Linked DNA regions of Struthio camelus. The protein of the gene in region 1 interacts with the protein of each later gene in a biochemical or structural test. Links are inferred from orthologs where the notes say so. Each region holds a gene or a part of one and is shown on either strand. Other genes may lie near its edges.

Region 1 (6,908 bases):
ACGCCTGTTTTTATTTAAATAGCCTGGGGCAAATTTCTCACTAAACCAACTTTCCCACGCCAGCCCAGTGCTCTAACTCTGGTTTTTGGCAAATTTTTTCCTGAGCTGTCAAGGCAAAATATATATAAGAATGCTGGTCTCACTTAGGTTTTTTTCCAGCCCCTGGAGACATGAAAATAATTTACAGATGTGCATTACCTGTTTATATTTGTACTAAGTTTTGCTTAACGGACATAATTTTCTTAGCTTGCAGTAACAAAAAAATATTCCCAGAGTTTCACTCATTTAATTTCAACTTATTAAAACTTTTAAACATGTGTGGAGGTTTTATGTTTTTAAATCACTAATCACATGGACGTGTGCCAAGGTTTCTATTAGAAGCGTTCTTACGAACGCTATTTTTAAAAGTACCTAAAATCCCATGATTTTTAACCCCCAAAGACCACTCAAAATGAAAAGTTTCTCTGGAGTTATGTCCTATTTACCGCTTATTGAAAAAAGATTTATGCTGTCCGCTGCCTTTTGCTTCCCGCTCCTTTTTTTTCTTTTGCCTTTGAGCTGGCGGCAGCAGCATGTGCGGGGCGGGTGTGGAAGAAGGAAGGGTCCCCGCGAAGACGCGCCCACCGGCAGATAGGCCCCTTGGAAAAGGGCTCCCGCGGCGGCGCCGGCTCGCGGGAGGCGTCATCCTCGTGCCGAGACGCTCGTGCCCCCCCGCAGCACCTGGAGAGACCAGAGAGGGGTTTTTTTTTCCCCCGGAAGGGCACCATGGCCGAGGCTCCCGCTGCCTCCGCGGGCACCGATACGGCGCGGAGCATCCCGCCGCGCTTCGGGCCCGCTCCGTCGGCGGGCAGGCAGCGGGCACAGCCGGCCCCGCCGGGCCTGGGCAGCGCTCGAGCCGGGGGAAGAAGCGCCCGAGCGCGGCTAGGCCGAGCGCGCGGTGCTTTCTGCGCGCGGGGAACAAGCCCGGGCAAAGGCAGCGCAGGCATTTCCAGGCGGGTAGAGCAGAGATGCTCCCTGCTAGCTGGGCTGCAGCGTGCAAAAGGAAAGGGGTGAAGACGGAGGGGAAGGGAGCAGAAATCTTTTATCGCCCAATAAACCAGAGCGGTGGGAGCGTCAGGTTTTTCCTCCTGCGGCGGGGGCTGCAGGAGGCGGCAGCCCCGAGCCGGCGGCGCTGCAGAGCGAGGGCGACGCGGGCACGTCGCCGGCCGAGCAGAGCGGGGCAGCGCCCGGCCGCCGGCACCGGCTTCGTGGCTGCGCCCCGGCGGAGACGCCCCGGCCCCCAGCCTAGAGGGGCGCCGAGGCCAAACCCTTGGCTCCTGTTGCCTCTGTTACTTGCTCTCCAAAGGCTCCGTGGGGCCGGCTGACGGCCCGGCCCTTGCCCCGGCTTTGCAGGGAGGCAGCACAGCAAGCAGCGTGTCTCCGCGCCGCTTACGAGTTTCGTAGCGCGGCTCGGACGGCCAGCGTGGAGCGGCACCGCGCGGAGCCCCGGCCCCCGGCCCGCGTTCGGGCGCCGGCGCGAGCGGCGAGGAGAGCGAGGGCAAAGCGCGGCGGCAGAGCAATAGCGCTGTAGGGCTCGTTCCTTTGATCTAGCGAACAGACTCTGCCCTTCGGTTTGTTTAATTGTTTCACACTTGCTCTGGAAATAATTTACAACAGGAAGCAGCGGGATAACACCAGGCCTGGCATGGGCCGGGACAGGGGCCGGGATGAGCCCCCGGGCCGCGGGGAGAGGTGCCCTGTGATGAGAGACACAGATGACGGTGTCACCTCCCTCTCATTAACCCTTTGCGGGCCCCGTCTCTTCTCTTTCTTTTTCCCATGCTTTGCACCAAACGCAGGCCAGCTGGCCCCGCGCCCCCCCGCCCCGGCCCGCGTTTGACGGTATAACCGGGAGCTGTAAAAGAGCCATTTGACGGCCCAGAATAGCCACGGCTTAATCAGCAGGGTCCCAGGGCGCTGCCGCACCTGGGGGCCTGCGGCAAGCTGCCAGCGTCTCGCCTGGGGAGGGAGGCGGCGGCGGCGGCGGCTCCCGCACGGCGCTGCTGATGGCCTTTCCCAGGGTCCCCCGCTGTGATGAGGGTCCAAGGAGAGCCAGGAGCCCCATGGCATTTAGGTGCCGTGTTGCCCGTGGGAGTTAGCACCCCAAATTGTCTGTGCTCCAAGCTCTCGCCCCTGGGTTTTCCGCCCTTGCGCCTGCTGCGCGGCAGCTTTCCCGGCATTGCCAACAGGCCACTGCGGCGCTCAGCGGGGCAACGGCCTCCCGGCAAGGCTCGCCGCGAGCCGGCGAGCTGACCCCGCGGTAACCCCGCGAGGAAGCAGTTGTCATTAGCACCCCCACACCGGCTGTTTCCGCCGGTGTTGCTCCACGGCTGGTACAACGCCCCGCCAGCAAGGAAACCCCCCTATAAGCGTAGCCCTCGGGTAACATATGCAAACAGGAGTTTAAACGCTTAAGTCTGCGCTCGGGTTGCTAAAGTTAACGGCAATATGGTTTCAATTTGTTAAGTGCCGTGATGGAGCGGGAACGGCTCGGGCCGCGCTGGGGTGCTCGGGACGAACCGGGCCCCGCCAGCACGCCCGCAGCGGGGGCGTTCGCCTCGTGCCGTTCCCGCGCGCGGCGCCCGGCGGGGGACCAGGTCCCGGGGACCCGCCGCCAGCACCGCCACCATCGGGCAGGGGTCTGGGGAGGCCGGGGAGAGGCCGCGGGGGCCAGCACGCGGCGCTGGCCGCGCAGGAAGCCTGCGCGCGCCTGGGGGTTGCTGGGGCTGCCTCCGAGGTTTGGCTTCCCTGCCTCTGCTCATCTGTTTGTTTATTTGTTGATGCAGCGCGTCGGGCTGGCCAAGGCTTTGCCTGCAAGTTCATTAGTTCACGGCGCAAAATAAACAACATCATCCCCAAGCTGTGCGCGTAACCGTGCGTGCAGGTATGTTAATGGCTGCTAGGAAGTGGCTTGGCGTATCTGTGAACACCTGCCTCGGCGAAAGCCACGATGCCGGGGCGGAGGGGGCACCCCGGGCACTGGGAGAGCCCGACCCCGCACTGCGGGGTGCCCGGCTCGCCCTGGCCCAGGGCCCCGGGAGGAGATGCTCAGCCCCGTCCTGGTCCCCCAGAGCAAGCAGGGGTGCGGAGCCCCCCCAGCCCCATGTGCACGGCGCACGGAGCAGGCGCTGCAGCCCGCCGGGTCTGTGCCCCACGGCTGGTGCCAGGCTGCTGTGGGCTGAGGGGCTGAACTGGGGGAGGATGTGTGGGGCTCTGCAGGGCCTGTACCAGCCTTGAGCAAGGGCCTGTGCAGGGACTGCCGTGGGGCTGCCCCGGGACTGTGCGAGGGGTGCGGGCGGGCGGCACTGGGGTTATATGGGGCTGGTGGGCAGGTCTACTGGGGGTGTCCTAGGGCTGCGCTGGGACTGTGCAAGGCGTGCGTGGGGGGCTGCACTGGAGGCGTGTAGGGGCTGTTAGGGGGCTGCACTAGGGCTGCACGAGGACTCCACGGGAGCTGCATGAGTGGGCTGCGCTGGGGCTGGGGACGGGGCGGGGGGGCTGCACTGGTGTTGTGCAGGGGCTGCATGGGGGGGCTGCACTGGGGCTGGGGACGGGGGGGGGAGCTGCACTGGCGCTGTGCAAGGGCTGCGGGGGGGGGCTGCATGGGTGGGCTGCACTGGGGGTGTGCAGGGCTGCACTGGGGGCGCCCCGCGGCTGTGCGGGGGCTGCATTGGGGGGGGGGGGCTGCCCCGGGAGGACTCCCCCCCCCCCCTCCCCGCCAGGCGGGCGCGGGCGGGGCCGGGCCGTCCCGTGCCGTGCCGAGCCGTCCCGCCCCGCGCCGTCCCGCCCTCCCTCGCCCGGCCCGGCCCGGCCCGCCGGGGCAGAGCAGCCGCGGGAGGCGCCGGGCGCTGGAGTCGCTGCGCTCTGGGCGCTGGGGCGCGGTGTGTCTGGGGCTCCCGGCGGGGCGGCGCGCACCGGGCACGGCTCGGCACGGCCCGGCTCGGCACGGCCGGCCGGTGCCCCGCGGATCTATGCGGCTGTGAGCGGGCAGGAGCCCCGAGAGCAGGGATGCAGCGGCTCCTGGTGCCCGGTCTCCTGCTGGCGCTGCTGCCCGCCCTGACGCGAGGTGAGGGGCCGCCGGGACGCGCCGGGCCCCGCTGCCGCCCACCGGAGCGGGCTCGGCACGGCGGGGCTCGGCGGCGCGGGGCGGCTCGGGGCTCCGCCGGGAGGAAGTTTGCAGCGAGCGCGGGAGGAGGAGGAGGAGGAGGAGCGGCGGCGGCGGGAGAGCGGCTGCCGCCCCGCGGGGAGCCGCGGCCGGACGCGCCGCGACGGGGCTCCGCGCTCGGTTGTCCCGCGGGGAGCGGAGCTGGAGCGGCACCGGGCGGGGGGGGGACCCGGGCTGGGCGCCCCGGCGGAGGTGCGCGGCGGGCGGGGGGGTGCGCGGGGCGCCGAGCAGCGCTCCCCGCTGTTGTTCCGCGAGAGCTTTCGGCCGTTTTGCAAATTTTTTTTGCTCGGTTTCCTGTTTCTTGAAAGTCACCTGGCTGCCTCGCCGGTCCCCTTCGCCGCCCCCAGCACCCGGGGCGGCTCCGAGTGCCTCGCCGCAAACTGCGGGGGGACCTTGGGGGACGGCTCGCCGGGCCCGGGGACAAGGACCCTACAAATGGCGAGAGCCCCGGGGCCCTGCCGTGTCCCCGGGTCCCGGGCGAGGGGCTTCGGCCGGAGCCGGGTGTTGCGGGAGCCTCCCGGGGAGGGGGAGCAGCGGGGCCGGTGTCGCCCGGCTCCGCACCGGGGCGGCCCGGACGGGGGCCCCGGCCCCGCAGAGGCGCAGTCCGCAGGGAAAGGTGCGGGGTCGGAGCAGCCCCCGGCGAGACCCCGCGAGGGGACCCGGGCTGGACCCCGCGCCGGAGACGCGTGGGGCTCGGCAGCCCTTCGGGGAGAAGTTTGGGTCTTGGCTGGCGGGGTGCGAAGCTGAAATTGCTGCGGTCTGAAAGTGCTCCGGCTGCGCAGCAGTGTCACAGAACCGGTTGCCGTGAAATGCTCGCGGAGGAAGAGAAGGGGAAGAGCGAGCTTTGGTAGAAATCGGAAGCGATTCTGGTACTTTCAGTGAGTTGCTGTGGTAACTGTGCAGAATTTGGCTCTGAGGGCCAGACATTGAAACCTTTACTCACAGTAAGTTGTGACGAGCGACTCATTTCGTTACCGAGTTAGTGATAACTCACGGGCCCTCGGGTGTATGGTTTTTTCCCAAATGGCATTTGTCACTCAAGGGCCTGACCTGTTTTTTTTCTTCTCTGTCAGTCCTCCTGTTGGCCCCTGGGGAGGGTACCGAGAAGGCAGAGTCCTAGTCTCAAAACCCACCACGAGTTTATTTTTAGGCGAGCCTTTCCCTGCTGGGAGCTGGGGCCGCGCGGTTGCTGCCTGCCTCTGCAGCCCTGCTCTGCCTGGAGAGCAGCCGCCGGGTCCTGCTTTTCACCACGGTGGCCACCAGGCTTCGGCGGGTGCTGCTGGCGGCGGCAGGTCACCTTCGCTCCCGGGCTCGCCCTGCCCTGGCGGAGCGAGGGGCGCCCGGCAGCCCCGACGCGAGGGGGCCCAGCAGCCTCCCCCTCGTGCTGCCCGGTGCCTGCCCTGTGGCTAACGCTCTCCTCCTCTTTGCAGGTTTACGGTGTACGCAGCTTGCCGAATCCTGCCTCAACGGGGGCAAGTGTGAAACTTTCCTCAACGGGACTGAGGTGTGCCAGTAAGTATGGAGGAGCCAGAGGGTTTTCATCTCCCTAGACCGAAGTATTGACGTGCATGTTGACTTTGCTTTGAAGGCTCTGGATTTAATAGGGCAAGATGCATTTTCATTCCTTGAGTGGCAAGAATAACCTGCTTGTGTAGGAGTCGCCACAAGTTGGGCAGGATTGGGCTTTGTTCCTGGCTGGGTGGAAAAACATGGGCAAAGGGCCACGTTTTGCTGGTGTTACTTATCCAGACTGCCCTGCTGATGCTGATGGAGCAGAAGCGAGGCCCCGGCCTGCGGTGCTCGTTGGACGGCGGGAAGGGGAAGGAGGTGGTCTGTCTCCGAGTTACTCCGGGCCCAGCTCCCTTCTACCTCGAAGTGCTGCCTTTTGGTCCCTTGCACCCCAGCATTTCTTAGTCCATTGCACAGTTCTCGGGACATCTCCATACACGTTTCAGGGGTCATTTCTTGCACGGCGCAGCCTGGGGCTGTGCTCTGGGTGGGCCATCGGAAAGGCAGGAAAGCAGGGCCACCTTCTCCCTGTAACTCTGCTGAAGCTGGTGCCAAGCTGAGGATCGAGCCCTTCTTGCAGGATCTGGCACACATGAAGGAGCTTTCTCCAAGCTGATTGTGGGGAAACGGATGTGTAAAATGTTGGGACTCTTTGAAGGACCATCCGACCCACCGCAGCGATGGCCGATTCACTCCAGGCTCCCAGGGAACAATAACCGAGAGAAATGAATAAGACTCCAGCTCCCTTTTTAAAACTATTCCATAAAAGAGATCTGAATGGGCAAGACTCTGTTTTCCGGCCAGATTTCCCCTCCGCCTGTTAAACGTGCCCTAAGCTGAGAGCAGGCAGGGAAACGTTCCCACCCACCCCAAACTTCCAAATAGGAAGTTCTCTCTGGGGAGAAACCTGAAGGCATTTCCAATCCCAACCTGTTGAATGGCAGTTTTCCTTGACAATGTGTGTTGCTTTTTGCAAATCTGCCTGGGCGCCGTTACTCTACCCAGTAGCTGGGCACCTCCCACCCCTTTCCTCCAAGCTGAGCCCCCCAACCCTTTGGTGAAAATAAATCAGCAAATCAATCAGGCACATGAGCAATTTAATGGACAAAGGCTGGGTCCCTTTGTGAGCTACTAATGAATGCACGCCACTTTTTTTTGCACAGAAGCCCTTACCAACGCTTGACGCTCTAAATCT
Region 2 (7,544 bases), on another chromosome or scaffold:
AATGGTACTAAGTCAATTTGAAACCAGACTAAGGGTTAAAGAACAAAACAAGCATAAGTGATTCTGTCTGCTTTGGTATCCTTTCTTCTGTTTAACTTGTTTTCAGAAGATTTACAAATGAAGTGTTTGCAGTAATTCATTCCATTAAAAAGGATAAGAAAGTGACTGAAACAACTGTTCATAAGGTTCCTACAGAGCACTACTATTTCCAAACAGGGAAATATTCGTTAAATCTTCCTTTTTTTTTAAAGAAGGATTTTTAAATGTCCTCTTCGAAAAATGGTTTTAATTATATTCAGTGTCAAATCAGCTCAATATCTGTATTGTCATACAGAACCAGCAGTGATACAACAGGTTTACTTTCAGCTTGTCTTAATAAAAATGATCTTACAGATTTTAAATATCCTCAGAACACACCCAGAAGACTGAGAGCAACACTTAAGAATCTGATTAAATGATTATGAAATACCTGCATGGAATACAGAGGTACAAATGACCAGCATATCTAAACTGTATTAAAATATGCTGGTGTGCCTTCTGAATAGCTGCCATCTAAAATGAATCCTCCTTTCAAAATATCCAATATGGTCATGTTTCACGATTCACTTGTGAAGAGTACGCAGGCTGATTTATAGAATACTTCTGCATACCACTACATGAATCCGTTAATTGGCAGAAGCCTGATGGCACATTTTATAATATTTAGAAGAGCAGGATGTTCTAGAAGACATTTCTCCCCCATGTGACAAAGTTTGCCATAACTGAGACATTTTAAATACTTTTGCCTAGGACTCCACATTATGACATGAACACAATGACTAAGTAATGTTATTTAGCTTTGTGCTTAGAATGTATGACTTTTATCAAAATTCTCTCTCAAACTTTTCTACCAATCTTCAATACTGTCATCTTAAAATTAAAAGGAAACACCTACATGCAAAACTACCTCCCTAAACTCATCTTCATGTCCTCCATCCAAAAAAGTACACAATACTGTTACCTTACTCCAGCATTACTGCACCGTGTTGCTCTAGAATATGTGCTCACATAAATATGAAGCAGCATTTACATCAACTGTTTATAATACATTAGAAAAAAAAAGCACAAGGGGTTGTGTTTAATGACATGAAGACTGCATTAGCTGAAAAATACCATACAGATTCGTTTCCTCAATTATACATAAATTTAAGCAGCAACCCTCCAGACTTAAATATCTGCTTTACTTACAGAGTAGTTTGATCTACACTACAGTACTGACAGCAAGTAACTACAAAGGACCAGACCCAAAGATTTTCACTTGACAAAAAATCAGAACTAGAGGAAGAAAAAAGATGAATCTATAGTCTATTTTTAATTATGACTGCAGTGTTTCAACATTAAGTTGCTGTACTTTTTATTAAGTTCAGACACAAAAATGCCCTTTATTGTTCTAAATCAATAAAAAAAGTTGTAATGAAAAACCTACAGTCTTATCAAACTGACTACGTGCACTGCTGTCTAGTATTTTGCTGTCTAGTATTCAAGAGGAGGATAACGCAGAGTGAAACAGCTTCTAAGTTGGACACTGAATCTCCTCCACACTCCTTTTGATATACGCTGCATTCTAATTACCATTCATTAGGTAAGTCAATCAATGTACTAGAACCAGAGTGAGATTCCTCCACTTTGAAAGAAAAGTTTAAGAACACAAAGTTTTATCATCACAGCCGTGCACACTAAAGTTTAAAAAACTCCAAAAACTGTAACTGTCCTCAAGACACATATATCAAAATACAAGAGCTCTTAAAAAAAATCCTTGATAATAAATACCATGATAGTTTTTACCAACTTTAAACTTTGCTGTAAAGAAAAAACACAGTCAGTACCACTAGTGTACAGTTTTAACACAGATGGGTACCTTAGTCAGCCTTCAGGAAAAAAAAAAAAAAACAGAGGATAATATAGCATAATGTTAGAAAAACTTAAAAAATTTATGAAAGACTTTTTCCAAAAAAGTAGTATACTGTTCTTTAGTAAAATTATACTTAACATGCTTTAAGTTTTCTGAACTCCCTTACTCGCAGAAAGGAAAGTTTTACAAAGTTTTGCAAATGCACACCCCAGTACAGCACTTATAATTGCCAGAAATTTTTGCTTTAAAGTCTTTCTTGGGGGGAGGAGGGGGAACACCCTTACAAAAAGAAAACAGCAAACTTGATCCATTCAACCATTTGCTTTATGCATAAACTAGATTAGACCCAAGACTCGAGCTTTCAGCTTCCAGTAAAAAGCTACCTGGGCTGCAGATTTTGTTATTCCATGCATAATCCTTCTGGTCGGTTTGGTCAGTGGGAGAGGGGGGAATTGCACGCCCATCCCCACGCATAACGACCTCGCAGCGCTCAGTCCTTTGCACCCCAATGCATCGAGGTTCAGGGGGCGGGAGGGAGAAGTGGTGAGGGGGAGGATTAACTTACTAATCCCCTTATTTCTTTCCCGTTGTAGACTCTCCCCCATCGCTCCCTCTCCCCTACCCCCCAAAAGCCCGACCTACTGAGTAGCTCCCAACCCCCCCCCCCCTTGCAACGGCGCGGATGGGGGAACAGCACCGCCTGCATCCCGCACAGGGCACCAGCGCCTCCTCCGCGCCTTCGCCGCCCCGCGGCGGCTCAGCGGAGCGCCCAGGCCAGGCCCCCCCGGCCGGGCCCCGCGGCCGCCGCGCCCCCCACCCCGGCGGGATTCAATGAGGCTGCAGAATCACCCGGGGCCTAGTCCCGGCCACCACGCTCCCCTCCTCCGACGAGCCGCGCCGCGGAGCCCGGCCGCCCCTCCGAGCCGGATAGGACCCCCCGCGGCTCCCCGGCCCGGCAGCGCGGCGACGGCGCCTACCTGGGCGCTATTTACAGCCATGGCGCCCCGCCTCAGTGGGGAGCTCGGCGTCTCCCAGGCGCCTCACGCTGCTGCCCCCGCCGCCGCCATCTTCTCTCTCGCACGCACCAGCCGGGCGGGCAGGCGGCAAGCACTGCGCCTGCGCACAGCGCCGCCGGGGAGGGGAGGGGAGGGGCGGCGCGCCTTTGCGCCTGCGCGTCGGCCGGGCGGTAGGGGCGGGAGGCGGCGGTGCCAGCGGCGCGCAGGCGCAGTAGCGGCCGAGCCGGGGGCGGGGCGGCCCGAGGAAGGGGCCCGGCGGCGGGGGGTGGCGGGAGCTGCGGGTGGGGCCGCTCTCCGCCGGGGGCGGGAAAAGGGGGTTGGGGGGGGGGGGGGAGAAACCAGGCAGCTCGGGGGGTCCCGGCGGCGCGAAGGAGGGCGAGGCAGCCAAAAAAACTTCACCTCCGGCCCCAGGCATCCCTCGGGGTCGGCCACGAGGCGAGCGGCCATCGCCCGCCAGCGGCGCGCGGGGCTGCCTCAGAGCGGTGCGGGCCCGGGCGCCGTGAGGCGGCGCCGCCCCCGCCGAGCGCAGCGGGGCGGCTTCGCCCGGGGAAGGGAGGGGGGATGCGGCCGGCCCTCCGGGTGGGCCCTGTGCGGAGGGGCACAGGGCTTTTCGGGTTTTTAGGGACACGCAGGCTTCGGCTGGGTTTCAGCTCGTGCTTCCTCGAGGCGGCGGGCCGCGCGTTGCGGAGTTGGAAAGCCTCAGACGCCAGCAGGCCTTGGCCCCGAGTAACGAGAGCGATAAGGGATTAGGCATTTGTATTTGGAAAACAAACAAGCAAACAACAAAGAAAAAAGTGACTAAGCCAATATTATGCTTTTGAGAGGACTGAGTCACAACTGCCTGCTTGTAAGCTCCCATCCCCGGGCAAGAAGCCATTAAACTAATCGCTAATTTACTCCGCCTTTTTTTCCCCCTCTTAAAAAACTACTAGATCCCACAAAAGACCGCTTCAGCTGCGGAGCAAGTGGTATAAAAAGCTTAACTTTACTATGAAAGTTGAAGAGAAGAAATAACGTGCTCCCCAGGAACTCTGTGATTGTGGCTTCTGAGAGAGAAGGTTCACTGAAGATGGAAAGCAGACTTCACCTGCCTTATTTTTTGATAAAGACATTTCCCTCTTATAAGTGCAACGCTTAATGTGTGCTCATGACAGTAATGGGAAGAAACTACAGTAGATGATTTTCTGTATCTGTTTCTGTCATTTCAGTTGACACACCCTGCTCCGCTCCCTTTCTTTTTGTTCTAGCAAGCGTTGTTGCTCTTCTGTCCTAAGGCAGAGAACCAGCAGTGAAAATAGCTGTTTAGTATTTAAAGGGGGTGGGGGGAAAGAAAGAGGGAGACATGCATGGGGATTTTACGTGAAGCACTTCCTACATCTGAAACCCCCTCTGCCCACAGGAGTCTAATTTACAAGGTAAATAATGGAGTAAAAACCCTTACAGAGCTCGTCTGGCTGAAGGCAAAATTCCCTTCTGCCCACAATCCTGCTTAAGTAAACTGACTGTGTTTGCTGGAAAGGTTGCCCCTGCAAATGGCTGAAAATACAAATGAGCAGAGTGCTTTCCACCTGAAAACAGGTTAATTCAAGGACCAATATTGTTCAAAGCTGGAGCAGACTGGCCAGAATTAGGGTGTGGGCAGAGAGGATGCAACTGTTGAGCAAAATTAATAACACCTTCAATTTTATCCTGCCTTAATACAGTTTCATTGTAATGTCTGTTAAATTTTTACCACAATATCTTGTAATACTGTAAGTTATGTAAGTTTGATCATAATAGAATCCTTTGAAGGAACTTTTACCTGCCGGAAAGTTTCCTCCTCAGTTCTATCTTACCATTCATTTTTGCCATTTCTGGTGGTGTGTCATTGTATTACTCGTCACTGCATTGCTCAAATCAGCTTTACTTTTTTTCTATCCTTTATGTCAGTGGCCAGGTACTCACAAACAATATGTTGCCTTTCAGACTTTAAAAAATAGTGGTTGTCTATTTTGCTTTCTGTGTATCCACGTTCTTAAGGGAGAGTAAAGGGAGAGTAAAATAATGTTAACTCACAACATGTGACCACTTAAATACTTTGTATTTTGATTAACAGCAGTGGAGGGTCACATCTTTGGGAATCAGAAAGACTTGTTTTACATTAGCCAGCGAGCTGAATAAAATACTCCAAATCAGTTGCCGCCCAATAACAACTACGGTAATTGTTCTTACTCTGCTATAAATGCAAAAAGCTTGGGAATAGCTTATCCTACAATATCATACTCCTCATGACCTTGCTACAGCATAAAACTGACCCAGGGGTTAAGGGTTTGTACATTTGAGGTTCCTGAACTGAAGCAACTGATGGGCCGCTTTGATCTGCTCTTTCAGGGACAGAAACGAGTATTTTCCTGTAGTGCTGCAAGACCTGGTTGATCACTGTGGAAGGTTTATCAATGTCTATGCAGAGCTTCTTCACAGTGCTAGGAGCTTTAGAAGACTTTTATTCTGGTAGTTTCTACGTACAATAAGGGCTTTGCTGTTTCTCCAGTCATTTTGGTAATGGAATTCAACTGGGAGGAAAAAGCCCAGTCAACGCTATACTGTGCGTTGGGGGCACCCAGACACAAAAAGCTAAGGTGGCTGCTGCGCGTTTAGAGAACATTCAGAAAGAGATTATTTATTTAAAGCAGCAGGAGACTAAGGGAGCATAGTGATACTCTATGCCCACAGTAGCACCAAAATAGTGTTAGGAAGGAAGCTCTTTTCATTTCCCTCATAAAATACTTATCAGAAGCAGTCATCTCCCCTGCTTGGACCTCAGACAGGAGCTTCTGATGGCGGTTCAGTTGGCTTCTTGTATTTCAAGTTCTTAACCAGCCTACTCTTAAGTCGATATCAACAGAGATGTCATTGGCAGAATCTGTAAAACACAGCCGTGACAGTCCCTCTCCAACGTGTCCACAGAGACCCTATGAACTTTGCCAGAGGTAAATCTAGCTACCTTACAGTGGCCACAGGCATACAAAAGGAATTATATGAAGTACCTGGGACAGAAAGGACAGAACTTGCTGCTGATGGAGGTCCTTCCTACTGCTAATGGCTATAATAAAAAATTTGGACAACCCAGATGAAGCTCTTTTCCTTTCTTTGTAGAGCTTGCGTAGGTCTTTGTTGTCAAACCTCTTTTTCAGATAGATGTCTGTGCTTAGATGTTCTGAATAGCATTCTGCTGGATATTCAGTCCTGAGGCTTTCCCAATAAATCTTAATCCAAAACCTCGTACTTCAGAGGTTTACCTGATTACTGAAACATGCTTGCTGAGTAGTCATAAATTTGTGAACTTTCTGTGACCTGAAATTGCACAGGTTAGCAACAGGCATCCCTGTGTTTAGAAAGAGAAGCCGAGATAGCACCAGGGCAAGAAAAGCTATACAAGGAGAAGCAATCAGCAAAGTAGTACAGGACACCAATAGGAGGTGTTTTATTCTGGAAAGCACTCGAGCAAACTGGGCTCCAAACTCCTCCTTCTTAAACTTTCTGATAATTTGTAACAAATATACTTAATCTGTTGATGCAAGGAACTTAAACGTGAAATAGTTCAAGTGAGCCTGAAAGAAATTTCAAGTCTAGACAAGCCCTTAGTAGATCGTGTGGCTGCTTGACTCAATATATTCTGTTTCAGTTATCTATGCAGACCTTTTGGCTGAATTATTTGTATCTCATCCTTCCCTGTCTTAAGTATGAGCCTTCTCTCTTCTCATGCAATGCAGTCTATTTTAGAGCTGCAGTTTCAAAAGAACCTTTATCTCACCTCTAAATTCTTTCCATTCACCATTTTGTTACTCATCGCTGAAACCGTCATGATAAAAACACAACTACATTTTTGTTCCCAAAGCTGTAGTGAGTCCCAGCAAGAGCCCATGCAATGCTGTAACATGGATTTGGTATCAACAAACCCACGCCTGGGCTGTGTGTCTGTCATCCATCTGATAGTGCATCAGCAGGGAGAAGGAACCTGCGTAGCTGGGACTTTGCCTTGTGCATGCTCTACCTTGCACAGGATGGCAACAGTGCATCTCCAACTGGACGGGGGATGCACCTGCCTTATGTGGTCTGAAAGACAGCTCAAAAACAGAGCTTGTAAAGGTTTAATTAGCTTTTCACTCATTAAAACCATAGGAACAGAATAATTTGGAATGGTCAGAAGGTCATTCTTAATTTCAGTTTCCACTCCATCTTCTTTCCTGCTAAAACTGCTCACATAAAGGGTTTTTATCAAAAGGACTAAGTGCAGCCACGTTTAACAGGTTAAAAGAAAAAGAAGTCAGCAATCCTGAGGTCCGTTTCTATCTTTGTGACTATCAGCCGTGTAAAAACTACGTCCCGTTTTCCACTTGTCGTCTGATGTAAGGATGACACTATCTACTTGCTGAAGTGTTCTAAGTCTATAAATTCTGCTGGATGAAGAGAGCTGAACTATTACAAGAAACTGAAATAAAATGATAAAAAAAAAAAAAAAAGCAAAGCTTTCCATTTGTTACGCTTCCCTTTTTTCGATAGAAACTTCTGACTGGTCAGAGGTTCCTTAAGACATATCAGCAACCTAAGAATCACAACTAGAATCTCGACTTTTTTCTGCAAGTTAAACTGCTTCT

Evidence for each region. The genes of interacting proteins can lie anywhere in the genome.
Region 2: the proteins of NOTCH1 (region 1) and USP10 form a complex in vitro, tested with the Homo sapiens proteins (2 studies listed by BioGRID, with this or other methods). The link is inferred for Struthio camelus from reciprocal best matches to the Homo sapiens genes NOTCH1 and USP10.

The regions. Positions count from the first base shown.
Region 1 is NC_090961.1:3,758,929-3,765,836, reverse strand, and holds the start of NOTCH1 (neurogenic locus notch homolog protein 1), read left to right. Parts: upstream 1-3,866; 5' UTR 3,867-4,047; coding exon 4,048-4,105; intron 4,106-5,634; coding exon 5,635-5,716; intron 5,717-6,908. UniProt on the Homo sapiens protein: Functions as a receptor for membrane-bound ligands Jagged-1 (JAG1), Jagged-2 (JAG2) and Delta-1 (DLL1) to regulate cell-fate determination.
Region 2 is NC_090951.1:4,542,673-4,550,216, forward strand, and holds the start of USP10 (ubiquitin carboxyl-terminal hydrolase 10), read right to left. Parts: upstream 3,083-7,544; 5' UTR 2,890-3,082; coding exon 2,869-2,889; intron 1-2,868. UniProt on the Homo sapiens protein: Hydrolase that can remove conjugated ubiquitin from target proteins such as p53/TP53, RPS2/us5, RPS3/us3, RPS10/eS10, BECN1, SNX3 and CFTR.